Notamacropus eugenii: one gene and its partners. The protein of the gene in region 2 interacts with the protein of the main gene of each other region in a pairwise test. Links are inferred from orthologs where the notes say so. Each region holds a gene or a part of one and is shown on either strand. Other genes may lie near its edges.

Region 1 (10,738 bases), on a different chromosome or scaffold from region 2:
TACCTAAATGCTGAGTCTTTGTATTTCCCAAACATTCTCTATACCTAGACAGCTGTAGTCTAAAACTAAATAGACCAAAGACATTCAAAACTATCACTTAGGAAGGAAAGGAAAGGATTTTTTTAAAAAATTATCTTTTTCTTGACCAAGAAAATCTAGACATTAAGTTTAAAAACATTTACTTAACATTTTGGGAGCATCATCAAACCACAAGCAGCTAGGTGGTAAAGTAGATTGAGTGCCAGTTCTGGAGGCAGGAAGACCCAATTTCCTGAGTTCAAATCTGGCCTCAGCCCCTTGAAAGCTGTGTGACTCTAGGCAAATCACTTAACCCCATTTGCCCCAGTTTCCTCATCTGTCAAATGAGCTGGAGAAGGAAAGGCAAACCACTCCAGTATCTTTGCCAAGATAACCCCAAACAGGGTCACAAGGAGTAGGACATAACTAAAAATGAATGAATAATGAATTAAACAACAAATATTTATTAAATGCCTAATAAAAAAAGGACACCATGAGTGGAAGGTCATCTGGTCAAAGATACCATGCTTAGAAAATCTAGCCAAATAATGCAATTAAACTGATTAATCTACAATTCGATTAATTATTGAAATTACTTGAAAAACATTCTATTAAAATTACTTTTAAAATGTACTATGCAGGGTTCCTGTGGAGGAAACAGTTTATACTTTCAAGCAGTTCAGAATCTCCTGAGGAGTGGATGCAACACACACAGGGATAAATAACTGATATAAATACACAGTAATTTTAGGAGTGAAGAGGGTGTGACCAACTGGGGAAAGTACAAGCAGGGTCACACGGAGGAAGCAGTCCGTCATTGGGGTTTTGTAGGAAGCTCTGGATTTTAAGCTTGCCCTTCAAGCACCGGGAGAGCCTTAATGAAGGCAGTAGGTACAGCGTCCTTACCAAGGAATAGCTAGTAGGCCAGCATGACTGAAACGAGTGAGTGTGTGAAGGAGAGTAATGAGAAATAGGACAGATAAGGTAGTTGAGATTCATATTGTGGGGTGCTTTAATGCCAGGCTAAGGGTTCTGAATTTTGTCCTAGAGGCAAGAGGAAATGAACAAAGATTTCTGGGTAAAAGAATGGCCAGGTTTGGTCTATGGTTTCAGAATATCAATTTGGCAGCTCTGTGGAGGATGAACTTTAGAGGGGACATCAGAAGCAGGATGACCAACCAGGAGGTCAACAGGACAGGTGAAAGCTGGTGAGATCTTCTAAAATATGAGCTGCACAGAGGAAAACTGATGGGACAGATGTGAAAGTAGAATCTACACATCTTGACAACTAATTGAATGTAGAGGGTGAGAGAGATAAAAGAATCAAGAATGACTCCAACTGCCTAAACCCTTTGACCCCAAGACTCCATTACTGGGCTTAACCCCCAAGGAATTCACTGATAGGAAGAAAATCCCCATATACACCAAAATACTGAAAGCAGCATTTTTTTGTGACAGCAAAGGCTTGGAAACAAGGTAGATGCCTATTGATTGAAGAATGACTAAACAAATTGTGGTACATGAATGTAAAGGAATATTCCTGTACTGTAAGAAATGATGTATGTGATGAATACAGAGAAGCCTGCATGAAAGAGAAAGAGCTGCATGAACTGATACAGAATGAGGTAAGCAGAGCTGAGAAAACAATACACACAGTAATTACAACAATATTAAAAGAAAGAACCACACTGACATACACAAAATCAAACATGAATGGAGCAAAGTTACAAAGATCAAGGATAACTGGAATGACGACATACCCATTCCTTTGTGGAGGTGGGAGGGACGTAGGTGTTACACCTGGTAAGTATTTTTAGACCTTCTTTTCGATGTATTAATTGGCTGTACTGATTTTCTCCCCCTTTGTGTCTATTAAAAAATAGCATCTGGTATACGAGATGGCAAAGAGAAAGGGAGAGTGGGGAAAATTCTGATGATATAAAAAACAAAAAGTATCAATGAAAATTTGGTTTTTTTTAAAGAATGACTACAAGACTGTAAACCTGGGTGACTAGAAGGGTACTGGTACACTCCACAGAATTAGGAAAGTTTGAGGATCAGTTTGGGTTTGAGAATCACTTCCAGTTTGGACATTCTAACAAGGACTTGGCAATGCAGGGCTTAAAGTTCAGGAAAGAGATTAGAACTAGATCAGCAAAGAGATGATAATTGAACCCGCAGGAGCTGCTAACATCACAAGAGGGAGAAAAGAGAAAAGGACTCAGGTCAAAGTCCAGAGGGACTTACACACAGGAGCAGGAGAAAGAGGATGATCTTGCAAAGGAAACTTAAGAAGGAAGGATCAAAGAGGTAGGAGGAGATTCGAGAGAGAACAGTCACTGAAGCCAAGGTGTGGTTGTACCACTGTGTAGAAATTCTACATCACAGTTACTCTTAGCTTGAAAGGATGTTAGATTAGACATCTAAGCAAAGCATACATACAAAAAGGTCTTGAGACAATTCTCCTTAAGTTACCAAAACTTAGACCTATGTTATTTTTACCTAAAAGTAACTTCTTAGTTTTTCACCCTTAGCCCTCATATACCAGGCATTACTAGCCCAAAGAATACAATTGGAGGGGATCTGATCAATGGCTCCCATCCTTTCTTTTCTATATTATCTTTCCCTAAATTTGTTCCTGGCAAGTTTGTGTCCCAGCACACACACACACCCCTACTGGATCGATGAATTCCCCTTCTTACCTAGAAGACTGCCACGGGTTCTGAATGCTTACCAGTATCCTTCATGTGTATTTAGCTGCTCCTTCAGTTTTCTCAAGAATCAAACCCCCTTAAAAAGGAAAGGCGGTTCCCACTTCCTGCTTCACTCAAACTAGCCCTAGATGCTTTCTGATCTCCAGCAACAGATCGATCTGAACCAGATCAAAACGAAGCTGCTCTCTAGCTTGGCGAAGGTAAGACTGAAGTTAAACGACCGCACCCAGCAATGCTGGAGGAAAATGGGAAGAAACAATCCACAGTCACGGGAGTGGAACCAAATAGACGCCTGCCTCTGTCCACCCTTCCCAGAAGAGCAAGGCCACGCGATGGAAGAGGCAGCCCAGCTCCGCTCCAGCCCTGACTCCCCGAGGCTCAAAGTTTTCGGGAGAGGGAAGTCAGCAGGCTGAGGGCATGTTCACAGCTGCCCTCCTTCCATTTCCGGTCTCACCCACAAAGCTGCTTTCGCCTTTCTGGTGTTCTAAACTGCGGGCAGCGTGACACGGAGGGGGAAAGAAGCTTTCTGCAAGGCTAAAAGGCTGCAGAGAGAGCCCTCGCGAACCCCTGGAGAGGAAGGTGCAGCCATGGTGGGGACACCGGGCGGCCAGCTAACTGCAGCAGACAGCTGGAGAAAGCCTTTTTTTAATCTCTAGCGATTTGATTGTAGCAAACTTTAAGAGCAAAACAAGAGATAAAGATGCCGCCAAGTCGACGTGGAAAGATTACGCTCTTTTTCTGCTGGGATTATACACAGCATTTACAGATTAACGTCGCCCTGGGCACCGCACAACTGGCCACCACGCACCCCAGGGGTCCCGAGCCCAGCCCAGCCCCGGGTGGGAAGCACGAGCGAAGGTGCGGGGCGCCCCAGCACTAACGCCCCCCAGGGCTGCTCCCGCACCTCCTCCTTCCCCTCCCGGCGCCCCGACTTTCCTGCCAGGCACCGAGGAGCCACCGCCCCCTCAGCTCCAGGCCCAGGGTCCCTCCCCCACACACGCCCCCAGGCCCGACCGTCCCCCGCGGGCGGATACAGCTTGAAGCCCCTCAGGATCTCCCGGGCCCGCTCGTCCTCGGTGGACATGACGAGGCGCCGGCGGCTCCGGGCGGCGCTGCCCCGGAGCTAGTCACCTGCGGCGGGCGGCGGCGACGATGACGGCGGCGGCGGCGACGATAAAGGGAGCCGGAGCCGGGGCCGGGGCCGGGCCAGGGGCCGGGGGGCCGGAGCGGGATTCTCGGCTGAAGAGGCGGCGGCGACTGAGGCGGCAGCGGTCCCCGCCCCCCTCCCCCACTGCCGCCCGCCCTCCGCCCCTATGACCAATGGGAAACCGCTATCCTGCCGGGGGCCGGCCCCTCTTTGTGGATGGGCAGCTCAACCTACCAATAGGAGAAGGAGCGGCTTCGGCGGGGGAAGAAGGAGCGTCCCTCCAGAAGACCGTCTCTCGGTCGTCATCCTCCCCACCCGGCCCGAGACGGGAGCCTCCTTGGGTCAATCTTTTCCGCTTGCGTTGCGGCCCGCGGCGCCCCGGGACCGGGTGAGAGCCAATAAAAACAGTTTCTTCCGCCGGCAACCTTGGGGCTCTGCTCCAAGAGTTGAGCGCGGGGACTACAAGTCCCAGCATGCCACAAGCTTTCAGAGGCCCGGAAACTACGAGTCCCATGATGTCCCGCAGGCTGCTCTCGCTCGGTTGGATCACCGCGTAGGTAGACTCGCGTGGACTCGTTCGTAAACATCCAACCGCGTGGGGCTCCTGTGGGTCGTTCTTCCTCCCTGACCCCATCCTGTCTCTGTCTCTCTCCTCTTCCTCTCTAATTCTTTTTCTGCCTTTCCCCTTTCTCCCTCCATCTTTCTCTCCCTCCATGTCCCCTTCTCTCCTCCCTCCCACTCCTTTTCTCATCTCTTTTCTCCTCTCTTTCTCCTTCCCTCTTTCTCTCCCTCTCACATTCTTTCTCTCCCCCATATTTCCTTCAAGGACAAGTTCAGGCACCATCTTCTACATTAACCCTTGCCTGATTCTGGATTCAGGAAGACCCAAGTTCAAATTCAGCCTCAGACACCTACCAGCTGTGCGATCCTGGGCCAGTCACTTGACCTTTGTCTCAGTTTCCCCATGTGTAAAATGAGGATCATAATAGCACTTACCTCCCTGGGTTATTATGAAGATTAAACTGAAATAACACATGTAGGTAAAGTGCTTTGCAAACCTCAGATTACTGCATTAAGTGCTTGACTATTATCCCAATTGCTGGTGTTGTCCTTTCCAAATCCTCAAATTTATGACATACATAACTCCAAGTGTATACTTAGAACAGCTTAGGCTTAAGGTCTGATAGAATGAAACCTCCAGAATGATAGTGACACTGTCCTTGGATATGTAGTTAGAAAAGTCTGAATGTTTGTGATCATGCCCTGAATTGGAAAGAAAAAGCTGTCTAACAATGGCCTGGGGGACTGGTTTTCCAGCTTAGTGAAAAAAAGTCCCTTTGCTCCCAGGGAGCCTGTGCCCTCATGGGATGGACAAAGAGCCATGAGGAAATGCACAGGAAAGGGTCATCCGCAGGTGTTTATTGGGAGGAAGAAAACTTGATCAGTCAGATGCAGATACAGAATTAAAAACAACAGCCACAAAAAAAACCAAAAACACAACCAGAAATGGGTGCCAGTCATAACAAGCTGAAGTAAGGTAGAAGACAGGAATAAGGACTGTCATCTCCATGTTCCCCACAATATATCAATCAATAAACATTTATTAAGCTCCTACTATGTGCTAGGCTAAGAGTTGGAGGATACAAAAAAAAAGGCAAAAGATACTCCCTGCCTTCAAGGAATTTACAATCCAGTGGAAGAGATAACATGCAAACAAATAGGTGTACACAAGCTACATACAGGATGAATAGTAAATAATTAACAGAGGGAAGGCTCTAGAATTAAGAGGGTTAGGAAAGGCTTCCTGAAGAAGATGGAGTTTTAGTTGAGACTTGAAAGAAGCCAGGGAAGCAAAGCACTCAATCACCAGAGCTGGTGATTCGTGTTCTCCGTAAAGTAGACAGTCCAACATTTTGTAGTCCCTCGCAAAATCAGCTGCAAAAAGCCCAGCACCTGTAGTTATATACCATAACAGCAAATACATATCAACCTATAACAAGTACACAAGCATTTATTAAGTGTTCTCTGTATGCCAGGCACTGTGCTAAATACTGGGGCTACAAAGAAGGGCAAAAGATGGTCTATCCCTTCTCTTCTGGAGCTCACAGCCACTGGACCACAGAAGAAAGGATATCAAAGGAGCATCCCAGGGACTCACCTAAGAATGACATCCACAGCAAATAGCTGTGACCACAGTAACAATAGACGATAGACATAGTCATGCAAAGCCTCACTTGCTTCTGTGACTCCAGAAAATTCATCCTCAAGCTTTGCTCTTCATGCCTCATCCTAGTCTCTGCCTCTCTGATTAAGGGACTGAGCACCTATTTCCTCCCAAAGCCCTCAATTAAAGAGGACAAAGAAGCCCATAGTGTTGTTATTCTGTCTTGTCTGACTCTGTGACCCCATTTGGAGTTTCCTTGGCAAAGATACTGGAGTGCTTTGCCATGTCCTTCACAGATGAGGAAACTGAGGCAAGCAGGGGGAAGTGACCCACTCAGAGCCATCCAGCTAGGAAGTGTCTGAGGCTGGATTTGAACTCAGTTCATCCCTAATTTACACCTTTCCTGGACTGACCCCTTTGAGAGAGGGTCTCACCAGACAACAGTACACTGTGTTTAGTGGGGTGGGGGTCGTTGCCGAGGCTGACCATTGCACAGAAAGGTGTCTTCATCTGGTTAGTCCAGCTGACAGTTTCTCACTGTCCCGAGGGGGAATTTCAATAAAAAATAAAGGTCGCTGGCTGCGTGTGCGTGTGTGTGCGTGTCCTGTCTCAGGACCGCTCCGGACACATAAATACACCTCGGATGGCCCGCAGCGGTCCAAGCTGACTTGGGCTAAAGCGCGGGGCGCTCTCCCGGCAGATCTTCAAGCGGAGCCTGGGGGGAGGGGCGGAGGGGGCACGTGGACAGGGCTGGGGGCGGGGAGGCGAAAAGCACCTATCCCGGGGCCGCCGCGCGGGGAAGGCTTTTGTCCGGCCGGGGCGGGAGCCGAGCATGCGCAAAGCGAGAAGGCCTTGACCCGCGGAGTCTGCGCATTGGGCAAAACCGGGCACGGAGAGACTGCGCGTGCGCGCGCGCCGGAACCCACGTGCTGCAGCCGGAACCTGGGCGCAGAGGCGGTGAGTTTCCGAGGGGGCCTCGGAGAGGGCCGGCCCGGCGGAGGCACTTGAGCGGCGGACCCCGGAGCGATGATGGCCGCCTGACGACCCGCGGGGAGGCGCCGGGAGCGGACGGACGGAGCCTTGGCGGCGGAGGCAGGTACAAGGAGCAGGGGTGGCCCCGGGGGAGCTGGGGGGACCCCGGGCTGGAGGGGGCGGGGAGGGCATTCCTGGGGGGGGGTGGTCCGCCCCGCCCCCCTCACCCGCCGCCTCCGGTGAGCGAGGGGAGGGGCGAGCCCCGCCCCCACCGAGGCCTCCCCTCCCCCAGCCCCCCTCGCTTCTCTTCCTTCCTAAGGCCCCTTGTGCCCCCCCTCTGAGCTGCCTCCACCTCCAGGCCTCAGGCCTCCCCCTCCCGCTCCTTCTCCTGGGCCTGCGCCCCCGAAGCTGCCTTAGGCTTGTAGCCCCCGAGTTTATTGGCCTGGAGTCAGGAGGACCCGAGTTCAGATCCAGCCCCGGACACTCTCGGGGTCCCGGGGGGCAGGAGGGGCTCCTCCGCCTCCCCTTTGCCCCCTGGGGACCACAATGGCAGCACCAGCCCCCCTCTCCCGACCTCGGCCCCCGGCCCCCGGTCCCCTCCACGGCCGCCCTCATCTCTCCTGGTGGGGAGAGGCACTTCCAGATTCCCCAGAGAGTCTGGGACCCCCGCCGGAGCCCCTCACTTAGCGTGCTCCTTCTGAGGCTCAGAGGAGAGCCCCCAGCACCCCGCTTCGGGGATATTCGAGGTTCCTGCCTTAGCTCTCCTGCGGCAGATCACCCCCAGAAACACCCCTTGGCCGGGCTTCCCTCGCCCCTTATCCAACATGTAACGTTTTGAGGAAGAAAGCGCCTTTCTTGTACCCTGGGTACCCCAAAACTGCCTTTTCACTAACAACTCCACCTCCATTTCTTGCCCTCCTCAGTCACCCCACCCCTCTCCGCACCCCTGCCCATCTCCCCAGCAGTCTGAGACTGAGAGAGGCCCCCTCCACGTGTCCTCACCGCTGTGGATTCCCCACGGGGGTGCTCCAGGCCCTGGCCACGTGTGGTGGTGGAGGCAGATCTGAGGAGCCTGTGGGTCCCCAGCAGCCTCTGTTCTGGTTCTGGTTTGATTTGGGTGGGAGCCCACCTGGTGGAGGTGAGGCCGGTGAACTCAAATGAAACCTTGGCCTTTGGTTTAGTAGAAGCAGCAGCTTCTCTTTCCTCCAAAGATGGATGGCTCCCTTATTTCTCTCTGCTGCCCTAGCTGTAGCCTGGCTCAGGAGCTCTCCAAGCACATTTGAGGCTCTAGATTGTTTCTGTAAAAAGTTCAGGGCTCGGAGAACAGTCTTTACTGTGTCTGCTGGCGGGCTTGCTTGTGCTCTGCCTGAGGATGTGCATTTTCATTCTCAAGATGTAGATCTGCCTAAGAACCTGGAGAGCAGTCCTTTCTATCTGTTGACTAGGAATTGAGAGGCTTTTTCTAAATGAATTTTAAATTTCCAGAATGAGCATATTTCCTTCTGTCTGGGCTAGATCCGTATGACAGGGTGATGACTTGTTCCTGATCTTGGGAGAAGTTTGCTTTTATCATAGGCACAATAAAAGCAAAGTCAAAAGCCAGACCAGTATAAATGGGATAGAGTGGGAGAGAATTGACTGATAAGGTTTTCTTTTTGACTAGATTACCAGGTCGTAGAATGGCAGGTGAACAGAAACCCTCCTGTAATCTCCTGGAACAGTTTATTTTATTAGCCAAAGGCACCAATGGCTCAGCCCTCACCGCTCTCATAAGTCAGGTCCTGGAGGCACCTGGAGTGTACGTGTTTGGAGAGCTGCTGGAGCTGTCCAACGTGCAGGAGGTAAGCGCTGTCTGGGCTTCTCACCCAAGGTCTCCAGGGATCTCAGGTTTATGGAACCGTAGTGCTTAGAGCTGGCTAATAGCACTGGGCCAGGCGGAGGAGGAGGAGGAGAGGTAGGGGAGACCTGGCCTTGGATCTTTCTCTTTAATATCTTTGCCGATGATCTGGTTGAAGGAAGTAAGAAGCGCATCATTAAGGCTTCCAGGTGTTCTGGAAGGCAGGAATAAAACTCCCATTGACCTTTATGAGTTAGAATTCCAACAAAACCAAAGTTTTCAGTGGGCATAGTGTCCCATCGATTCACTAGCGATGCAGACGCAGGCTGAAGGAAGCTGACCAGGAGTGGCATGATGTGAAATGACCTCCTGGAGGCTCTGGGTAAACCCCTGCTGACCTGACTGTGCAGAGCAGGGCAGGTGTGGAGAATGGGAGGATGCTGGGATGGACCAGAAGCAGCTGGAGATGGAGCCCAAGAGGCACTTCTCTGGGGAGGTCCTTGTTAGAGCCATGCGCCACGGTATGGTCACGGGAAAATTTAGTCAGAAAGAAATTCTGTGGACAAACTGGAGAGGAAGGAAAGCAGAGTCAGCGAAGTGACCAGTGAGGTGGAATCAGCTCAAAGTGCCGGGCAGCTGTTTTGGTGTTGCTGGCCTTACTGGCCATCTTTGATGTTTTCCCAGTCATTCTACAAAGAAGGCTGGGGCTCTGGAAAGTCTAGTTCGAGGTGATGTTCCCTCTAGCCTGTTCCTCAGGCCAACTGGTGCACTAACACATGCACTCATGCATCTGGGCAGTGAATGCCTCAGCCTGAGGCTCCACATGCCTTTTGCTCACAGCTCATTCCTGTGCCCATGTAGAATTCATTCCCAGGGAAGTTAAAAACGGGGCAGGAAGCTGATGGCTAAGCCTGCTGGCAGGGAGATGTCTTTTAGGATGACTGCTTTCAGCCCTTCCTGCTTAGGGAGGTCCTCAGTCAGTCCCCTTGGAAGCAGAGTTAGGCCCAAGTACCCCAGGTCTGCCCCACGACGACCTCACATATAGAAGTCCTGGTTAGTGTTGTGGGAGCCTGTGGGGGAGTTCCCCAGTCCTCCCCACCCCAGTTCTACTAGCATCCTAGCCCACGACAAATGCTTTATGGTTCCAGAATGTTTTCACGTTCATTATCTGATTTAATCTTCACTGTACTCCCCATCTTCTTGGGAGGTGGTGCTGGTCAAGCCAGGACACCATTATGGGACATCATCATGGCTCCTTAGTGCTCTTCCATTGGCTCCTTGTGGCTCTGGAAGCCTGAACAAAGGGAACTGTGTTCAGTCGCTGCCAGAGATTGTGTTTGGACAGAATTGTTTGGGACCATTGAGGGAAGCTGCAGAGCCTGTGTTCTCAAAGCCTGTAAAGAGGAGCAGAGACAGCCTCCTCTGGGTCATCCTGTGCTCTCTCTGAAAGTAGGGCCTGGCCCACACCCCTCTGAGTCAGTGATCTCAAGGTAGTAAGGGCAGTCAGGGGTTCGGAGCCTGTGCCCTGCTGCCTTGGGGTGACCGACTGCAGCTCTCCTCCTCCACACTGTGTTTAATGAAATACTCAAACTTCTGGAAAGAAAAGGACAAAAACTTAGAGTCCACATGGCAGCCTGTGCCCCTAAACTCCCTCTCAGAGTCTCAGGATGGATCTGGAATCTTCCAGAGGATGGAACTTGGGAAGTGAAGGGGCCTGACTTAGGACCAGCTCTCCCACAGAAGAGGACTATGACCCATTCATAGTAGGGGCAGCCTGCTTTCTTTGGCTTGTCTGCCACAGGCCCTGGGGAGGAGCTGTCGTCATGGCTGGGGGGGACACCCATATCCCAAACATCCCTCACCCTAGGAGCATTTATGGTCTCCTG
Region 2 (10,123 bases):
GCAGAAATAAGATACATTACTTTCAACAACAGCTGTGTAACCCACACCTTTCAAGTGTTCATGTATTGAGTTGCCCAAATATGTGCATTCAATTGTCCTAACCCTGAGTTCTCACTCTCCAAAGGGGAGAGAAGTATCACAACCAAACTTTACAGAATCTCTCCTGTTTCTAGAAGTCAGTAGCAATAATTCAGGAACAAGTTTTTCCTTGTATGGCAAAGGGATATAAGAAGAATGGGAAGTATTGGAAAAGTAAGATTAAAGATTCCAGTTTTCCCATTTGGATGAGTTTAAGTAAGTCATTTAGAAAGAGCAGGGCATTAGTAGAGAGAAGGGCTGTCTCAGAGTCAGGACAACCTGAATTTTAAATCCCTCCAGATACAATCTGGCCATATGACCCTGGGCCAGTCATTGGCCCACTCCTTAGAATCTCAGGAAGCTCTAACCAACACTTTAATTGGAGGGGCTGGGGGGGAAGGGAGAGGAGGAAGTCATTATTGCATTCCATTGGTTCTATTAGGTTCAAAAGACTAGACCAAAATTTCACAGAAGCTCCAGATGAGGGAATAAGGGAAGGGAGGGGAGGGAGAAATCAGCTGTCCAAGAACTAAAATAAAAGGAGCCCATCAAGGTTTCCTGGTTAAAAGCACAATACTAGTGGCATGCAAAGATTTCTTTTTTCTTTTTAAGTTGCCAGTCAAGCTAAAAAAAAAAAAAAAAAAAAAGTCCTATCTTGATCTCGACCTTAAGAGAAAAGGATACATTCTGCATTCCCTAAAACAAAACACCTAAACTAAACAGATTTTATCGTGTTATTTATTATCTGAGCTTTGGTTTCAAGTGGTGTCCATGACAGAAAATACCACAGTCTCTTCAGTCACATGTTTCATATTTTGGAACTAATTTAGGTTTATAAATCGACATCAGAGCATACACTTCTTGCTCTATAAAAGTTCACTTATTGAAACAAAAAATTTTTAAACTGTTAAGAAAGCTACAATGCTATTACTGTCCTTTTCAACCTTACTTAAAAACACTCATTTTCTTATTACTATGAAAAAAATGGCAAACTCCTACTAGCTCCCAAAACTATTTTTAATGGCTCATTTCCATTAAGAATTGCAACTCCACAATCTCATATTTCTCCATTTTTCTTCATTCTCCAATCATAAAAGGGGGAAGATGATGATTACCCCCAAAGAATGAGGGGTAATATGCAGAGCTCCCTCTATGAGACACCAACAAAAAGTTGGCTATATTATTAAAATAAAATAGGCAAAGTTACACATGTCCTTTCAATTTTGTGTTAGTAAACAGCAACCCTGCAAAGGGTAGAAGCAATATGGTGGAGATCCCAGCATAGTCTGTAAGTTTGGGACACTACAATTTCAAAAAAAGAACATACATTTTCATCTGTGGAAATTCAAGAGAACTGATTTATTTTAGAAATATTCTGTGACAGTCAAAAAAATTGATTTGTAATAATTAACACAGGAAAGACATGACTAAACAAGTTAATCCCCTGAGGGAGGAAAAGCAAAGGAGGCTGCTGAAGAAGTAACAGTCTATCCAATATATCATTTCATCAGAATAGAGGTAGGAAAAGGCATGGGTTTTGGTAGAAAGAACACACGCTATGGAGTGAGTTCTTAGAAGGTTAGCTTAAAAGTGATGATTACTGTCCAAAAATTGTATTTAACCTTCAGGATCAATTGGAGCTTCTCCAAGTCCCAGCTAAAATCTTACCTTTTACAAGAAACCTTTCTGGATTGCCCCTAAACGCTAGTGAGGTTCCTCCTGTTTTTATGCTCCAATTCATCACATATATAATTTGTTTGTACCCAGTTGCCTGCAAGTTTTCTCCCTCAAAAGACTGTGATCTCCTTGAGGGCAAATATTTTGTTGTTGTTGTTGCTTGGTTTTTTCCCTTTTTTTCTTCTGCCCTTCTTTGTATCCCCGAAGTTCACCACAGCACCTGGCACACGGAAGAGCTTGTTGACATACCCCTTATTATGCTACAGTATGACACTTTCCTCAGAGAATGCTTTCTCACCCTCACTTGATACCCAAGCTTAGACTTCTTAGAATAAGCATAGGGGAGGCTCCTGTGATTTCATCTGTGTAGCAAGTTAGGAAATTCACTCAACCCATGAAGGCAGACACACTTTCTCCTCAAGGTACAGTCTTACTTGACTAGAGCCCTGAGAAGTGTAAAATGACTTGCCTAGGACCACACAGAAGCAGAGCATGAACCCATACCTTAAGGCTCTCTGTATTCACATGCCATGCTGCCACTCGAAGCCCTTAATTTTTTAAAAATGATAATTGCAGAGAAGCAAATAGAGGCTAATTTGATTTTTTTGAAGACCAAAATTAGAGAAGGAATAAAAGATGAGGTTCATCAGCCTAGATATAAAGGTGTGTCATCCCAAGATAGAGTGAACTAATCAAGAAAATGAACCTGCTCTTGTGGGGATCACTGAGCCCATAAAGCAAAGCAACTGCCAGGGCAGGTAGGTGGTACTGTAGATAGAGCACCCAGCTCTGGAATCAGGAGGACCCAAGTTCAAATTCTGATTCAGACATACTAGTTGTGTGGCCCTGGACAAGTCACTTAACCCCAATTGCCTCAAAAAGAACGAAAAGTAACTTCCGCCCAATCTATGTCTGCATGAATCCTCTTAACTAAGCAGTTTCATCCCACCAAATTTAATGTTTAAAAACCAAACCTAATGGCTACTTTGGCACAATGCAAGACAGACTTAATGATTCAAACATTAAATTTGTGTGTAACTAAAACATCCTACCTGAGATATAAATACTGACAAAATGATGACATAATTAGAGACTCTTCATTTTAAAGCTTTGCAGGAACCACCAACAAAACTTTAGCTACTGTCATACTTTTCTATAAGTCAATTTCCAGCTACAATCTTTAGCTTTTATTTGGATGGACTCCAAAAAGGTATCTTGTGAGGAAAAATACAATTTATATTCGAAGATGTCTCCAGAAAATAATCTGGACAGCCCACCCAACAAAAATAGTCATTTTGCATTTCATAAATGACCTTCACGAAAAAATAACTAATCTCCAAATCTTCCTTAGAGCAAAAGAACTGTATCCTATTTTTCAAAGAGCCCCCTAGAACTCTTATTAGTAAGATTTGAACTGATTTCTAGACCTCTAGGCAGGGCCCAATTCACATAGCCATGTTTTAACTGAAAACACTCTGTAGGCCCACAAACTCTTCAAACCCTGGAATTTCTGACATAACCCCAAAATGAACTCAAGTAATCACAACTGCACAGCCAACATTCAAATGTCAAGCAAATATTGAGTAATAATTTAAACATTCAAGTATCAAGCAATTGTTAGGTTATAAATTAAACTTGTTGCTCATAGCACCTAAACTTGAAAACAACACGTGGCCCGTATATTTCAAAACAACCTGACAATTCCTAGAAGGCACTTGTCAAAATTCTGCCTGGCCAATCCTGCTGTCTAAAGCCTAGTGGATATGGCAAACATACAACCAGATGATGTCTAGGTCACTATTTTCATCCACTAATGCAACCTGGCACCGATTCTGGGTGACACGGTAAATTTTACTAAACTATTTAGCGTTTTGCAATGAAACAGATTGTCCTTATAATATTTGAGAAAAGGAGTTTGGGAGCAATACTTGCTGCTTGCGGACACACACACACACACACGGACACACACAGACACACACACACACACACACACACTTGCCCATTCCGTACTCCCCTGGCCTAATATTCCCACAATCTCTGCCCCAAACAGTATTACAGCAGCATTCCTGAAACTGGCTGAAACTTCCCCGCAGCCCGGCAAGCAGGCAGACCGAGCCCAGGTTCAAGACTCGCCGGGTGCCCAAGGTTACTACGGAGCTAGCTCAGTGGAGCGTGCTTTATGTTCATGTGCTTTTTAAAAAACCCAACAGCGACCCGGGGTCACAGCTTTAGAGGTCTAATAACAGCCAAATGACCAGGGCTGCCCGTGCGCTGCGCTGAACCCATTCGGGTTATGGGTCTTTAATAGTTCTTTGCAGCCTGCTTAAAGAAGGCGAAGCTGGAGCGACCCGGGAGGGGCAGAGGCAGCCAGAACCTCGCTCCCGGGGCTGCCAGGCTGCCAGGCTGCACGGCTCGGGGAGAAAGAGGGGCGGGGCGGGGGGAGGGCGAGGCAGGGCCCCCTTCTCGGGCAGCCGCTGCCCATCCTCTCCGCTGCCTCGCACCGCGATCTTTACCCGGAGCTGTAAATCTGCTCGCCCCACGACTGCACCTTTACCTGTCAGCTCCCCCACCCCCCTCTCCTCCTCCTCCCCCCCCCCCCCGTCCCCGCCCCCAGAGTGGGGCAGCACCGCAGCCCAGCTGCCAGCTCAGGACCGAGCGCGGGGCTGCCAGGGGGGAGAGGGAGCGGAGAAGGGGGGCAGCGGGGAAAGAGGGAGCGAGAGAGGACAAGAGGGGGAGGCAGTTCCCCTCCGCTGCCCGCCCGCCCCAAAAGAGGGGAGGGGCGGGAGAGGCGAGGCGTGGGGTGTGAAGGCGAGGGGCACCCCGCCGCTCCCCCAGCACCGACGCCGCGGACCTTACCAGATAATCCATGTACAGTAACGCCTCAGTTATCCGAAGATCAGACATCCGGCAACCTAAAGCATCCGGAACGGCTCCGAACCCGGAAAAAAAAGAAAGCGTCTCTGGCAGCGAAGCGACCGCCCCCGGGAAGGCAGCAACAGCGAAAAGAGCCGAGGGCAGCCGAGCGGACGAAGATTACACCAGCCGCGCCACGATTGGTCCCTCCGCCGACCAGAAGGAAAGAAGAGCTCTCATTGGCTCTGGGTGCCTATAAAAGGCGCGGCCGCCCGGCGTGAAAGCGGAGAAGCGCGGGAGAGCGGGTCCGGAGCAGATCCTCTGGGAGCTGGGACGGGAGGCTGGGGGCGTGGGGAGATGAGGAGGAGAGCAGGAGTGGGCGGGCCGCCGAGGGGTTCGTGGGCAAGTGCCACGGCTGGGGGCGGGCCCGACGTTCTCATTAAAGAAACAATCCTCCCCGAGAGCTTTGGAGATGAGCTGAAGTCCCAGCGTACGTTCGATAAAACTCCATTCTATAAACACCCACTAGAAGCGTTGGAGGGGAAAAAAAGAGGCAGAAGACAGTCCCTGCCTTCAAGGAGTCTACATCTTCAATTTCTAGGGCTTAGTTAAAAGAAGGTAAACAACAGATCTACGTTAAACCCTGAAAGAGTTTACAATCTGATCGAGGGCACCACATGCAAATGTATGCAAAGCAGGCTGTATACAGGATACATAGGAAATAATTCAAAAAGGAAAATCAATATTAAGTGTCTACTAGGTGGCAGCAACTGAGATGAATGCTGGGGATGAAAAAGGCAAAAAAAATAGTCCCTACCCTCACGGAGCTAATGGGGAAAGAGACAATGCAAGAACTAGTAATATAAGAAGCAAGCTATATATAAGATACATAGGAAATAATTAGCAGAGGAAAGGCAATGGAATTCCGAGCCCTTGAGAATGCTTCCGGTAAGAAGGTGGGAATTTAGTTGATTGGATTTCTATTCAAACTCAAATCTTCTGAGTTCAAAGCTAAACTGTTAGTGCTGTGAATTATCTCAGTAGTATGCATCAAGGACATCCTCAGGTAGCTTTTATATGGTGCTATAAGGTTTGCAGAGCCTTTTACAAATATTTCATTTAATCTTCACAACAACCTGGGTTATAGTTTGCTGTTATTATTATCTTTCTGTTACAAATGAGGAAATTGGCAAACATAATTGACTTGTCAGGCAGAATCGTCCTCAATACTGAATTTGTGCCACCAGCTTGGGGAACCTTGCCCTCTGAAATAGATTTAAACTTGCTCTGAGGAAACACAAACTACATTTCAAGTGGATGTTTGTGTACCACTTGAAAAAGACAATGCTATCAGTATGTTGATGATCAAATGGTCTACCTATGTTCTATATATATTAAAGGCAGATGTTTAGGGTTAGTTTTTTAACATAGATTTAACTAAAATTGTTGCACACCTGAACACCATATGTGTATTTCATATGCAGCACCTGGACTGTTTTAGATGAGTGGCTCTTAATGAAGAGGAAAGAGGAAGCCCCTGTCTGTGATCAAACACTGAACAAAATGTAAAATATTTTATGAGTCAATGGGCTTACTGAGCCATTTCCTTTTTTTCTGATAAGTGGCTTTAGAATTTCAAAGTGAGATCTGGCATTATTAGAAAAGACTAAAATAAAACTTAGCTAGAGTCTTTTTAACAAAATCACTTTACAAATCATAAAGGACTATGTATGCTTCCAGTCTTTCTGCTCTATATACAGCTGCCAAAATAATCTTCCTAAAGTACTGATCTGACCATGTTACTCTCCTGCTCAACAAGCTTCAGTGTTCCCTAATCCTTCTAGGATAAAAAAAAAAACTCTTCTGTTTGCCATTTAAAGCTCTTTACAAAACAAAGCCAAACTTATTTAGTTCACATTTCTCCACTAATGTACTCATCATGTTTACTGTTTGCCTTATGTGACACTGCAACCATCTTTCTGCCAGAGTACTTCACTCCATCCTGTACCTCTGACTGGGCACTTGCTCCCAACCTGTAGGACTCTGTCTTCCTGATTGCTGATGGTTCACCATATCTAGCAGGGCCCTCATTACATCTACCATACTGTACTACAGCCTGGTAATAATAGTTACTCCCAACCCTTCCTCTAGGAACTGTACGTACCCTTTTTCTAGAAAGGAGGAATCAGTCAGTTGTCCTAGTACTTCACTAATCCCATCCTAGAACCTTCCCATACCCTAACGGGGACCCATTCGTGCAGTCATTTTAGTTGTGTCCAACTCTTCCTGACCCAGTTTGTGGTTTTCTTTGCAAAGGACCTGGACTGATTTGCCATTTCCTTCTCCAACTCATTTTACAGATGAGGAAACTGAGGCAAACAGATTAAGTGATTTGCCCAGAGTCACACAGCTAGTAAACGTCTGAGGCCAGATTTGAACTGACCCTTCCTGAGGTCATTACTCCCCTCTATGTTTTGTCTTTCGCTATTAGAATACAATCTCCTTAAGTGCAAGGATTGTCTTGCTTTTCATGTTTATATCCCTGGTGCTTAGCACAATGTCTGTGTTCTAGTAAGCACTACATAAATTCTTTTTGTATTCAACCATGACTTTCATTTCCCACCCTAAATGCTTTTACTCTGGCTGTGTACCTCATGGCTAGAAAGCATCATCTATTCATCAGCCTCTTTGAATCCCTAAGCCTTAGCCCTGGTGCTACTCCGGACATAAATCTTAATTCTCTGCCCTCTAAAAATTACTTTGAAATTACGTGTGTGCCTGTGCCTGCACATTTGTATATCTCCCCAGTAGAATGAAATTTTGCTAGTTCATGTAAACTGCAACAACAAATTGATACAGTGCCTAGCAGAAAGGAATAGTAACTGGACCTGTGGTTTCATTTATAGGAATCTCTTAAAGAAGAAAACTCTCTTTCCCAAGGAAGGCAAGCACCTTTTGTGCAACTTACCTTGTATGCAGTTGCCTGAACCACTCTGAAAGTCCAAGTGGCATGTCTGGGGGACCCTGAGCTATGATGTGTCAGAGGGTAAGACTTGAACCCAAATCTTCCTGGTTCCCAGGTCAGCTCCGTATCCACTATAACGTGATGGTTTTTTTTAACCTTGTAAATAGTAAGTAAAATAAACATTTGTTGATTAAATACGAATGGGGGGAAAGTAGCAAATCATAAAACTGCAGAAAAATAATTTCTTAGAAAAATTTGTAAGCACAATCAATCCCTTCCCTTGACCATCGATGGTCAATTCTGGCCATGCTTGCTCCACCCCCTCAGGTGCATCTTATAATATAAAATCTTTGGTAATTCCAGTCAACATTGAGTATCTTATTTGTAGCATGTTCACAGCTGAAGAGGGTTGAGGGAAAGTGTTTCTATGATGAAACAAAGAATGCAGCTAGGTGACCCTAATGCACCGAGCTCTGAACTGGAAGTCAAGAACTGAATTTGAAGCTACCTTGGATACTTAGTAACAGCATGATCCTGGGAAAGTCCCTTAATACTAATAGTAGCTTATAGCTAACATTTCTTTATGTTAGGCACTATGCTAAGTGCTTTACAATTGTCATCTCATTTGATCCTCTTAACAGCCCTAGGAGATAGATACTCTTATTATCCCTATTTTACAAATGAGGAAACAGAGAGAGGTTGAATGACTTGACCAAGATCTCACAGGTAGTAGTGCCTGAGAACAGATTTGAACTGTCTCCATTTTATCATCTATAAAATGGGGATTAATAGAAACATATACCTCCAGGGTTGTTGAGGGTAAGTTGAGATTATATTTGAAAAGTGTCTTGTAAATCTTAAAAGCCCTGTGCAAATGTTAGCTATTATTATTGCTAGCTATTATTATAAAAGCATGGGGTGAGCAAGATCAAGAAGGCTAGCTAGAAAGTATATAATATTTAGGGAATGGTAAGTCCAGCTAACCTAGAACCTACTATATAGAAACATAGATTTAGCATTAAAAGGGACCTCAGAAGTTATCAAGTTCAAATGTCTAATCCAATTTTTCAGATGAAGAAAGTGAGGCAGAGAGAAGATAAGTGATTGGCCATGGGTCTGATGTGGTTTGGGGTTGCTGAGAACCCCGATATGTCAGGGTACAGGCAGTGTCCACCAGTGTCCACTCAAAACTTCTTCCAGTTTAGGAGCAGTTGTTGTAAAGCAATAGTAATGGGCATGGTTCCTAATGAACCTGCAACTTAATGGGGGTGGGACTGATGCTTATATACAAAAAGAACAGTGAAAAGATCTGGATCAGATTATGGAGTAGTAAATAGTCTGAATTGGGCCAGATACTACACTTAAGGAATATCAAGTAGACTAATTAGATGATCTAGAGGGGATTAAGGGGTGATTGGTATATGCAACTAGTAGGGATGGGGGGCAGCAAGATCGGCAATGAAAGGAATGTCAAGGTGGTCTGGGGTGGGCCAGTTGTCTTGGACTGAGGCCAAGGCTGAGGCTCTAGTGATCTGGGCTGCTGAAATATATGGGAAAATTCAGGGACTGGGTTGCTTTTAACAACATGGTCTTTTCCTTTTAGGGGTTCAGGCCCTATCACCCCATCAGGTCAAACAAATAGCAAGAAAGTTAGACTAGATTTAAATCATGAGAAATTCTACTGTCCTAAACTCTAGGACCTAGAACTTTCAAAAGGTAACTTATTAGTGGTTGGGAAATTCCAGTGTCCAAAATTTACTTGTTGATTTAAAAGCATGAAATCTTCTTGCACCTTGGGTGAAAAAACAACTTCACTTATAAGTTTAACTGGGGATAGCAAATCTGTTACTATTATTATTTTATTATTATTATACTCAGTCCAAAGAAGTTGAGTTAGTATCTGGTAATCCTTTTACCATATATTTGTCAACCACTCTTACCTCAGGTTCACTGTCAATATGGGGCAATAATGTCAAACTCAAATAGAAGTGGAGCCTATTGACTTAGAAAACCACAAATTAACATTACCTATGTTGTATTGCATTTTTATTTTATTAAACACTTCCCAATTGAATTATAATCTGGAAAAAAAAAATAGTGGCCTGTGAGTGACATCTTTGTACTAGACTATTTATTTATGATACAAAATATCATTCCAGAAAAAAAAATGTGCAGAAAAAGAAACCTATGCTGTCAATTTCAGGAATGAGGTTTGAGGTGAGGGGTGGGGCAATATTTTTTTAAGAGGAGTACATTTTTGGTGCCTTTCTTAGGTCACACTATTCTAGCCCCTGTACACAAATCAGACTACACGCTTAGAGAAGAAAAAGAACCTTTTTGTGACCTAATTTAGCCACTTATTTGCAGTGGGAGAAAATGGTCTTTGTTCTTTCTTCCTTCCTTCGTCTCCCTGATCAGTTTCCTCTATGGAACCAGAGGTGATGCCTCTAGAGGCAGCTGCCCATCCCATTTGTCTCAATGGAATTTTCAAAGAATCACTGAGATTCCTTTTGTAAGGAGCCTAGGATTCCCCAGGGTCTGCTCCATTCC
Region 3 (10,306 bases), on a different chromosome or scaffold from region 2:
TGGCAACATTGTGATCAAGGATGATGTGGCCTCTGAGGTGTGTGTTGTGTATGGGCTCCTGCCGTGCAGGCACTGTGCTGTGTATTAGGGATATAAGGCCAGGAAAGGCTAGCCCCTGTTCTCCCAAGATATCTGGACTCCCACTGCCTGGCCTGAATAAGAATATGATGAGAATTCTTAGAGGCCTAGATGAGGAAGGAACACGGGTCTGGTGTGTGGTTTGTGTAGGTACTGGAAGTAAGTGTAGTGTTGAGCACTTTGTGGGACCTTGTGGGAATAAGGCTGCGAAGGGAGCTTAGAGACAGATTGTGGAAGACCTCAGGTGTCAGGCCAGGGAGTGGGTGTATCTCAGTAGCCATAGGGAGTCATAGCAGGTTGTTGTATAGGGTAGGATCCTAGATCTAGAGCTGGAACTGACCTCAAAGATCGTCGAGTCCAGCTCCCACATTTGACAGAGGAGGAAACTGAGGCCTAGGCAGGGGATGGGACCCACCGAGACTGGGTTGGTAGTAAATGGTGGAGGAACTTGAACTTGAACTTGAACCCAGGTCTTCTGACTCCAGACTTGGCACTCCTCATCTTGATGTGATAGTCAGTTGTCTGTGTTGCCTTCCCCCACAATCACCCTGTCCAGATGAGCCCTCCATCCCCACCCCTCTGCATGTCAGCATTGGTGAATGTGGGCAGGGCTCTTGTGCCCCATGTCCTGCTGACTTCAGTCTTCAGCTGTTGGTGCAGATCTCCCCACTTCTCTGAATTCTTCATGCTCCTAGTCAGTGGGCACAGTGGAGCATGGACGAGACATGGGCTCCAGGCATCTCGGACCCCAGGCAGGTGACTAAGCCTCACTCAGCCTTCATTTGCTCATCTGTAAAATGGAAGTAATAATAGCACCTGGTCATAGTATTGTGAGGATCAAAGGAGAGAATGTGTTAAGTTCTTTGTCAACTCTGAAACACTGTAGAAATGGCATCTGCTAGCATTATTTCTCCTCTTCCTAACATTCCATCCCATTGCCATACTGGCAGTCCATCCACATTGTTTCCAGGTTTTTATTGCTGCGAAGTCTTCCTTGGCCTCTTGGCTGACGTGGCCCTGATAACAGCCCTCGGGCCCTCACCCTCATTCTCTTGTCTCTGACCTCCTTGGAGCCTGTGCCCAGGAGTGACAGTTCTAGAGTCCAAGGTTGAAACGGTTCATTGCCAGTTTTTCTTGTGCATACTCCAAAATGGAGGAATAGTATTTTGGGAGCTCGCAATGCTTAGGGTGGACAGGGGAGGATGCCACTGAGGAAGCGGTTACAGTGTCTAGGAGAGGGATGATAGATGAGATCTTGCAGGAGCAGGGTGGCCCCTGAGAGGGGCAAGGAAAGCAGATGGATGGGAGACAGGTGAAGGGAACAGAACCTGCAGGACCATATCAGGGGGATGGAGTTTATGAAAGGACGGCAGCACCTTGGACAGAGTGTGGGGGAACATCCTGGAGAACATCAGTTCAGGGCCAGAGATGAGGGGAGGAGCTTATTAGTACTGGGTTTATAATTTGGAAGTCATTATGTAGGGTTGATAATTGAAGCCATGTGAGCTGAGGAGATTGCCAGCAACCCTTGAATGACACAAGAAAAGAGGGTCCAGGACAAAGCCTTAAGAGATGCCCATGATTAGTGTGTGGGAGCTGGCTTAAAAGCTGGCAGAGAATTCTCAGGAGAGGACCATGTCCCAGGGAGGGGAGGAGTATTCAGAAGGAAAGGAAGGGTGGGCAAAGGGTGCAGAAGCCTAGGAGGTAGGGGCAGAAGAAGTACCATGGAACTTAGTGGTTCAGGCTTGTCAGTAACCTTGGGGAGAACAGCTTGGGTTGAGTAGAGGGGTTGGGAGGAAGGGGGTGAAAGGAGACCACTCTTTCTAGCATCTTAGTACATTGAAAGGGAAAGGAGAGAGAGAAGGTAATAGTTCAAGGGGATGACGGGTCTAGTGGAGATTTTTTTATGAATGGGAGTGGACCAGATAGAAAGTCAGAGACTGAGACAGGAGGGAAGAGGAGGCTCAGAGGTATAGATGGAGCCTTGGCAAAGGAAAGGACCACTGCTTTCTCGGAGATTGAGTCAGAAGAGACTACATGAATGTGCAGGAGTTTTGAGGTGTGTAGTAGGAGGGGTGGAGCTCATATAGCCCTCTGTGAGCATATATATTAATTTATTTTATCCTCATGATAACTGTGGGAGGTTGGTGCTTTTCCATCCCCATTTTAAATGTCAAAATAGGCAGTCGGGTGAAGTGATTTCCCCATGGTCACAGTTAATAGGTGTCTGAAGTTCAGTGCTCTGTGCACCATGGCACCACCTAGCTGTCATGGGGAAGAGGAGGGAGTTCAGGAGGGAGGAGAGGGAAGGTTTGGAACTGCTTTGTGATCGAATCAAGCTGGAAGAATCAGACTAGTGGCACTGGGCTGGAAGGCCCAGGTGAGATGAACATTCACTTGGGTGCTTTGTCTGCCAATGTTCAGCAACACTAATGTCAGGGCATGGAAAGCAGATGGACGTGGGCCTGGCCATTGACTGGTTGAGGATGTTTCCAGCCAAGCTGGCATCTCTAGGGGAAGACTTTAAGGGGAGAGAAAGGAGGCCCAGGCACAGGGGATGGATTTGGAGGACAGATGAAGAGACGGAGGAGGATTGGAGCAGGTGGAGATGGAAGGATGGGGCATTATCTTCTGGAATTGGAGTTGGCACCATTATGGGTGATGGTGCAATTTAAAGTATGAGCACCCCTCTGAGCAGCAGAATTGAAATGACGGTGAATGTAGGGGGTTAAGGTTGGTTCCTAAACCCTCCTTGGATTCCTTTGTCAGATCTTCAGCCAACCCCCATGCACTAATTATGGGCATCTCAAGTCTTTGTCCTGGGCTCTCTTCTCTCTGGTGTGTCATTTAATCTCTCCCTGCACTGGAGAACCCTCGATGCTTGAGGGAACATCAGCATGTATATTAAAGTCCCCAAGTATGGGGTGCAGGTCTTGGGGTGAAGATGATGACTGAACGAGGATTGAATCCCTTGGGAAAGGACAGAGTATATAGCCTGGAGACAGGAGTGTTAATAGCAACAAGAATTTGGTCCAAGTGATCTAGAAGGATTGAATGAAGCTGAAAGGGGAATGATGTGGAGGGAGGGTCTGGAAGTGGTCATGAGAAACATGGAATAAGTGGGATCTTTCTGGGTGTGTGTGTGTGTCTGTTTGTGTCTCTGTGTGTCTGTCTGTGTCTGTGTGTGTGACACTGGATGGGGCCAGGGGTTTCCTGAGTGGCAGGATGGAGGGAACTTATGGGCTAAGGTTGGTAGGGATGAGAGTCGGGGAAAGACTTGACTTAGCAGAGGGCATCTGACTCAACAGATTGAGAATCCCAAGGTGGAAGTTATTCATCTGTAGGATGGGGAAGGGACCCATTCAGGTGGCACCTCCAGCCTCCTGAGTCCTGTGATGATTATGCAGCCTCTGCATGGTGTTGTGAAGGGCATTGGTAGCCCCCCAGGGAATCCTGGTGATACCTGGAGGGATTCAGAGTAGCCCATGGGATCACCCTGTATTTTTGCCCTTCCCCTTCCTGGGTTAGGTGAGGGTGTTGGATGTCCTTTTAAGTGAATTCCCAGAGTGACCCAGGACGTCAGTGGCATGCAGACACTAAACTGCTGTCTCTCCCCTCCCCTGGCCTAGCTTAGGCCCTTCTGCTGATCAGTGTCTTCCTGCCCAGGTGTACCGGGCAGTGGACGCCTTCCACGAGGCGGCAGTGGCGCTGTCTGAAGGGAACCTGAAGCCTGCTCTCCGAGCCAGCCAAGAGGCGGTGACTTCCTCTGAGAAGGCCTTCTTTGACCCTTCCCTTCTCCACCTCCTCTACTTTCCTGATGACCAGAAGTTCGCCATCTACATCCCCCTCTTCCTGCCCATGGCGGTGCCCATTTTTCTCTCCATGATCAAGATTATTGTGGAGAACCAAAAAGTCAGGAAGGATATTGAGAAGGTGGACTGAGTGTGTGAGGGGGCAGAGTGCTCCCTCAGGAAAGGAGGGGCAAGTTGGAGAGCAGATGAATCTCTGCTCTTGGGAGTGGCCTGGCCCCATTCTGGACAACCTCACTCTTCTCTGTCCTTACTTGCATGTCCTTATGTTCAGAGGCCAGGCCTTTGGGTGGGTGGGAGAGTGGGTGGGCAAAGGGAAGGGCCTCCAAGAAGTGCTCTGCCCAGGACCTCTTTCATTCAATTCCCTCATAAGGGATCAGCCAACTTGGTGGGTTGGGAGAGTAAAGGGAAAGAAAGAGAGGAAACTGAAAAGGAAATAAAAGTCTTAGGAGTCTTCTGGCCCTCCATGAATTGCCCATGTTTTATTCACTTCTTGGTTTAAACTGAGGCTCTTAGGGTACGGAATGGTGGCACACTGCTACTGGGCCAATGATTCACGTGTCTCAGCAAACTTGGACAGAGAAAGACTCAGGGTGGAGGAAACCACCCCAAGTGTATGGAATGGGAGACTCCTCATCATTGCCTTGCTCCAGGCAAAAAAGCACCAACATTTGCCGGTGTTCCCTTAGAAGTGATGGCTGAACCCCTGTTCTATGAAATCACTCCCCCTTCTCAGCCTCCTTATGGATGGCTTAGGCATCACTAGCTGCAGGCCTGGAATCACTTGGCCTTGCCCAGGTTGGGGCTCCTTTTGCCCCCTTGGGTGGGGGAAAGCCGTAGATATCCCCTTAGGAGAGGTTTGCAACAGATTGCCAGTCCTTTTCTCTGGCCTTCCCCTTGCCCTCTGCTGTCTGGCACAGCAGGTGGGCCTGAGCCTCAGCCTCCTGGACTGAAGAAGGGAGATTGGCCTCTACAGCTCTGGCCTTCGTAATTTCCCTTCCCCTGCTCCCAGAACTGGCACTGCCGAAGCAAAATGCCATCTGGCCTTTGGGTGCCCTGTTCCCTCCCCCATCCACTTCAGTTGGTTGAACTGGGCCCTCGAAAATCCAGCTTTGCCTCCCCCTACATCTCTTCAGTGTCTCCCCTTAGTCTTTTTTCTGGAGTGGGGCACGGGCAGCCTTGGTTCCGAGACCTTAAGCCTGACTTCCTGGGGGTGGTCCGGTAGGGACACAGGATGAGAGGCGCCCCTTGGGGCCTTAGAGGCCGGTTGGGATGGGATTTCAGAGATCTCTTTGTTCCCCTTTAGGGAGGGACCCTGCTCAGAATGGTCCTCACCCTTCTCCCACGCACGCCCAGGCCCTGGTGCCAGCTCTGAACGTTATTTTGAGCCATCTGCTTTCCCAAGTGGACTGTCCTTTCCCCTCCCACTGAGGCTGGCACTGGGGGAGAGGGTGTTCCCTGCGCGTTCGGGGTGAAGCGGCGAGGTGGGGGGAGGGGGACTCGGAGATAAGTCTGGGGGTGGGGAGAAGGGACGAGCGCAGGGCATGCGAAGGGAGAGGCGCCGAGGGAGGAAGGCTGGGGATGTAGGTCCAGGGGCGCGCAGCGAGGCGGGCCTTGGGGTGGAGCAGAGAGCAGGTACCTGGGGCGGGGCGGGGCCAGGAGCCGCGGGGGGAGGGTGGGGGGCTGGGGAAGTAGAGAGGCCAGGCTGGGCCGGACAGACCCGGGCAGATCGCGCTGCCTCCCCTTCCCCGCTGTGCGGGCTCCGGACGGCCGCGGCGGTGCGAGGGGCAGCCGGGGGCCGGGAGCGGGGCCATGAAGGTGAAGAGAGACGGCAGCGGGGCCGGGGCCGCGGCTGGGTCGGACCCCGGGCCAGGGGCCACGGGCAGCCAGGACGACGAGGCGGGATCGGAGCCGGAGCCCCTGGCGCTGCGGAGGAAGGCGCTGATCGGGCCCGAAGATGTGTTGGGGCTCCAGCGCATCACGTGCGGTGAGGGAGGCGTGGGGGGCTCCGGGGCGTGGGGGGCGGCTGGGGAGGAGGGCTGCGTCCCCAGGGAGGCTCCTGGACCATGCACTCTGCGCGCACCTCCCCGGCCCCAGCCCCATCATCTCCACCCCATCCGTGGGCTCTAGCCGCGCCCCTCCATCCTCTTCTCCGCTCCCTGCGCCCCACCCATTCTCTCCACCTCAGACCCTGTCCTACCTTCTCTTCTCCATCCTCCCTCCTGGGAGCTGCCTTTTGCTCACTATGGGCTTGGCCCCTGCCCCCGTTTCCACTTAGACTGAACGGGGCAAGGCAGTGAGGGCAGTGGTCTTTCCTTTCCTCCTGTACCCTCTTTGCTATGGGGTGAATTAGCTGCGTTGCCCAGCAAGGTTCTAGATCAGACCTAGACTTTCAAGGAGGGCCCAGTACTTGCTGAGTGGACCCTCACCACGTCTGGGCATTAGGATTGGGGGGAGGGGAGGCACTTTGGGGTAAAATACCAGTTCGTGCGGGGGAGACCTGGGCTGGCAGGACCCTCCAGGTACACGCCCCTCCTCCCAGCCCGGGAGCAGTCTCTGATCTACTTGTTAGGGATTGAGGTCAATGAGGTGACCCTGAACACTAATCTCTCTGTCTTAAGCCAGTGGCCCAATACCCCCCCAGTCCAAGAGAGCACCTCAGGATAGCCTTTTTATGGCAACAGAGGGGCTACTGTATGCCCAAGTATTCCCTGTCATCTTCTAGTCCCTAGACAAGCATTTGGGGGGTGTTTGCACCTGACTTTGAAGCTGTCTCTGGAGACTCCAGGCTAGGGGCAGGTCTACCTGTAACCCCCTGGTTGCTGCCACCGGGCATCTGTTGAGTTGGCTGACTGTTACCATCAGGGAATTCTGGGTCCTGGAGCTAGGTATCACAGAATGCTCCTGAAATGATGATCTTGAGGCCTCAGTTTCTCCTCCTCCAGGATCCTGATATCTGGAAAAAGAAATGAGACAGGGAGTATGTCCATAATCAAAAGAGAGTGCCTACTGTATACAGGGATGCCTAGCTATGTAAAGCAATCTCATCTCTCAAGGAGCTCCCAGCCGGGCTGATGAGACAGCTCACACCCATTAAACGTTACATAATGGTTGGTACAGGGTATGTCACTAAGCAGTCTCTGCTAAGGGCCAAAAAGAGGGCTCAGATGAAGTCACAAGGCAGAGAGCCTGTGGGAAAGGGTGAGACAGGATGGGACACCTCTGTTTTCCCACCATCCAGGGTGGAGGGGAAAGGTCTTTCACTACAGCCTGAGAAGCTAGGTAGGAGCAAGGCTTGGCCCTGGGCCCCTTTGCAAGGGTCCAAGGCGTGGAACCCAGGTGGAACCCTGTGGAACCCTGGCCAGTCTAGACCTCTTTGGCTTAGGTAAGGAGGGTGAGTGGGGTAGGGTCTAGTATGTGATGTGGCTTGGGCCACACAGTGTCCTACTAGAGGTGGGCTTCCCCAAGGATTCTTCTCTTTGCTTTCGAGACCAATCTGGCCTGTTCTTACCCTAAGCTGGAGTAGACTCCTTCCTCCTTTATCTCCCTGAACTTCTTTCTCAATCAGCCACTTACCCTGGAGTTTGGGGCCTAACACAGAAGGAAGGACCTGCCTAGGCTGGACTGTTCCCCTGGGACACTGGGCATTCTGACCCAGACTGAAAAGAAACAGGAAAATGTGTATATGGTGCTGGATGTGGTTAGACCAGGGAGAGAGATCCATCAGTCTGTCTGCAGGCATTTATTAATCACCTTTATGTGTCAGGCACTTCCCTAAGCACTGGGGATACAAAGAAAGGCCCTGCCCTCAAGGAGCCCTTATCTAATGGAAAGGGCTTAAGGAAAGGGTTTCTGCTTAAGTTGTGATAGGCAGAAGGCAGGTCAGCTCTAAGGAGGAATTTCCCTGTGCAGAAGACTTGGAGGATGCTTGAAACAGCTACTGTTGAGGAGTGGGCTCATGGAGCCTCGAGGTCTCCCATCTTGTCTTGCATTCCTTGCCTTTCTCCTGGACTTGTCTGGTTTGACTCCAGCCTCTGGCCAGCCTCCTCAGCCGAGGATGGGGCACCAGGACCTAGCTCATCCTCTAGGCCACTCATTCATTCAACTTGTACTGAATTCCTCCTGCATTCCAGGTGCCATAGTGAGCCATGGGACTACAAAGACAGAAACCAAACAGGAAGTCCTTCTCTGGGTCTGATCTCAGTCCCTCCTGACTCACATTTTATTTTCTGTGCTGATAGCGAAAGTCGATTTCATAGGATCATAGGATTTAAAACTAACCTGTGAGACATTAGGAATGGGTTTCTCCAAGCCCCTCCTTTTACAGATGAGGCCACTGTGGTCCAGAGAAATTAAGGGACTGGTCCAAAGTCACTCATGTTGTAAGTGGAAGAGCTAACTCAGGTCAGCAAAATAACCCTTCTCTCTTTCAAGAAGACCTTATTCTTGTCTTAGTCTAGCTGACTCACCTCAGTCTTATCTAAAAAAAAAAAACCCAAAATACACAAAACCAAAAAACCCCAAAGCCAAACCAGCCAGTGGAAGGAACCCTGCTTTTGTCCTCAGCCCTCCTCTCCTTTTCAGTCAGCCCATTCATTTATCCCTCCCAAACTTCCTTCTTCCCTTCAGTTCTGAGACCCCCTAACCCTGATCCCCAGGGTCCCATCTGGAGAATGAGCAGTTAACCAGTGGGGCTCTGCTCCTGTCCTTTACCCTTGTTACCCCCACACCTCCCCCTTCTCCCAATCTCCCAGAGATTCATAAGATCCTCCCCCCTCTCCCACTTGGCTGCTGACACCAGCCGTTCCAGGATTGTCCTGGGCCTTGAGCTCTTGATAGGGGAGGAGGAGAAGACAGTGAAGCATTTGTGACCTAAGCAACCTAGGCTAGGGGAAAGTGTGGGAATTCCTCCCCTCGAAACACTCCATTGTCCTTTAGGTCAGTCATCTGCCATTTTGAACTGGCCCCCAGCGCCTCTGTCTCTAGATCTTTCCCCAGTCTTTTGACAACATAGTTACCAGTTGGACTTCTTCCCCACCCCTGACCCCCACCCCCAGAGAGCAGGGGCTGGAGGAAGGTAGGCAAGAAGGGCACATAACTGGTTTTTTGGGTCCACAGCGCCTGAGGGCCTTTTGGGAATAGTGTATGCCTTCTAAAAGGGGATCAGACCTAGGGGAAGGTCTGGGAGAAGTGGTCAGAGCTCCCCTCCAAGGCTAAAATTTTGTGATTTTTATGGGACCCAACTTAGAGAGAGACTGTGGGAGCAGTCATTATCCCAGAGAACCTTGGACCTGAGCTTTTTGTCTAAGGAGAAGAAGGAGGGCCAGAAATAGGAAGTGAGCTGCCCAAGGACATACAGTGAGAGGTGTTAGTGCCCTGGCTTCTCCTAGAGAGAGAAGGGTCAGCCTTGACCAATTTGCCTAGGACTGGGGGAAAAGCAAATCACTTGTCAGGAGACAAGGCTGGCAGTGGGGGTCTCCAGGGTTCCCTGCCTGGGAAGGGGAGACAGCATTTCCCTCATCCTTTCTAAAGAGGGGGAGACTTCAGGACTGCCAAGATGGGGCTGGGGCAGAAAGAGGCTTGAGGAGATGCAGGTGGGGGGTGGGGAGTGGGGGGGATGACAGTTCCCATGAGAACCTGCTTTTCTAAGGGCTCTGAGGTTGGGAGACAAGTCTGAGGGACACTTAGGCTTGGTTTTTGTGGCTTCTACCTCAGGCCCATCCTCCCATCGGAGGGGCCTGCTACAATGTCTCTCCACCCTTTCCTCCCTTCCTGAGCAGGGCTGTGGTCCTAAGTGGCCTCTCAGGCCACTCGGCTTGTACTTCCTTATCACTCTTTGCAGCTCTCCAGTGACTCTATCTTCCTGCTTGTCACTGACATTTGTCACTGACTTGGGCTTTTTCTTTCTAGGGTCCCCCTGGGCCTCTCTCCACCTGATCAAGAGGAAGGAGAGGACGAGGTAGCCCCGAGGGAGGACAGGAGGGCTTGAGGTTTTTTGAGGGGTGTTGGTGGTTAAAGTATCTACCCCCTCTGGCCTAGTCTCCTTCATCAGCTCTTAGAGTTGGACCAGGAACTGGGTCACCCTAGAACTGCAGCAAGGAGGATTAAAGTTAGACTAGGGCTGACCACAGAGGTTTGGGAACAGAGCTGGCCGGAAGCTAGGGCCCAGAGTTACCTTCCTGCCTGGGGGCACAGGGCCTGGTTAGGGACATATTTTCCCAGCTCTCGGAGCCTCCTCTGTTTCTCCAGAACTGAGTGGATTGGGAACAGGGATGAGGAGGGTACAGGGGTGCTTGAGAATGGGGCCTGAGCCTCCAAGCAGGGCTTCCCTGCCCCCCCAGGACATTCCTCTGTTCTAGTTACATTCAGTCAGCTGATAGCTCCTGGTAATCTGCTTATGTTGGCCCAGGGGATGGCTA

The links.
Region 1: the proteins of ARL15 (region 2) and PDE6D interact in binary tests that used the Homo sapiens proteins (3 or more experiments, as listed by UniProt). The link is inferred for Notamacropus eugenii from reciprocal best matches to the Homo sapiens genes ARL15 and PDE6D.
Region 3: the proteins of ARL15 (region 2) and UNC119 interact in binary tests that used the Homo sapiens proteins (3 or more experiments, as listed by UniProt). The link is inferred for Notamacropus eugenii from reciprocal best matches to the Homo sapiens genes ARL15 and UNC119.

Annotation. Positions count from the first base shown.
Region 1 is NC_092873.1:58,276,399-58,287,136, reverse strand, and holds the start of PDE6D (retinal rod rhodopsin-sensitive cGMP 3',5'-cyclic phosphodiesterase subunit delta), read right to left. Parts: upstream 4,063-10,738; 5' UTR 3,817-4,062; coding exon 3,767-3,816; intron 1-3,766. Other genes in the region: COPS7B (COP9 signalosome complex subunit 7b), read left to right, coding at 8,695-8,856. UniProt on the Homo sapiens protein: Promotes the release of prenylated target proteins from cellular membranes. Modulates the activity of prenylated or palmitoylated Ras family members by regulating their subcellular location.
Region 2 is NC_092875.1:408,353,577-408,363,699, reverse strand, and holds the start of ARL15 (ADP-ribosylation factor-like protein 15), read right to left. Parts: upstream 4,792-10,123; 5' UTR 4,660-4,791; coding exon 4,612-4,659; intron 1-4,611.
Region 3 is NC_092873.1:35,936,194-35,946,499, reverse strand, and holds the start of UNC119 (protein unc-119 homolog A), read left to right. Parts: upstream 1-5,592; 5' UTR 5,593-5,699; coding exon 5,700-5,874; intron 5,875-10,306. Other genes in the region: PIGS (GPI transamidase component PIG-S), read left to right, coding at 1-37, 3,745-4,020. UniProt on the Homo sapiens protein: Involved in synaptic functions in photoreceptor cells, the signal transduction in immune cells as a Src family kinase activator, endosome recycling, the uptake of bacteria and endocytosis, protein trafficking in sensory neurons and as lipid-binding chaperone with specificity for a diverse subset of myristoylated proteins.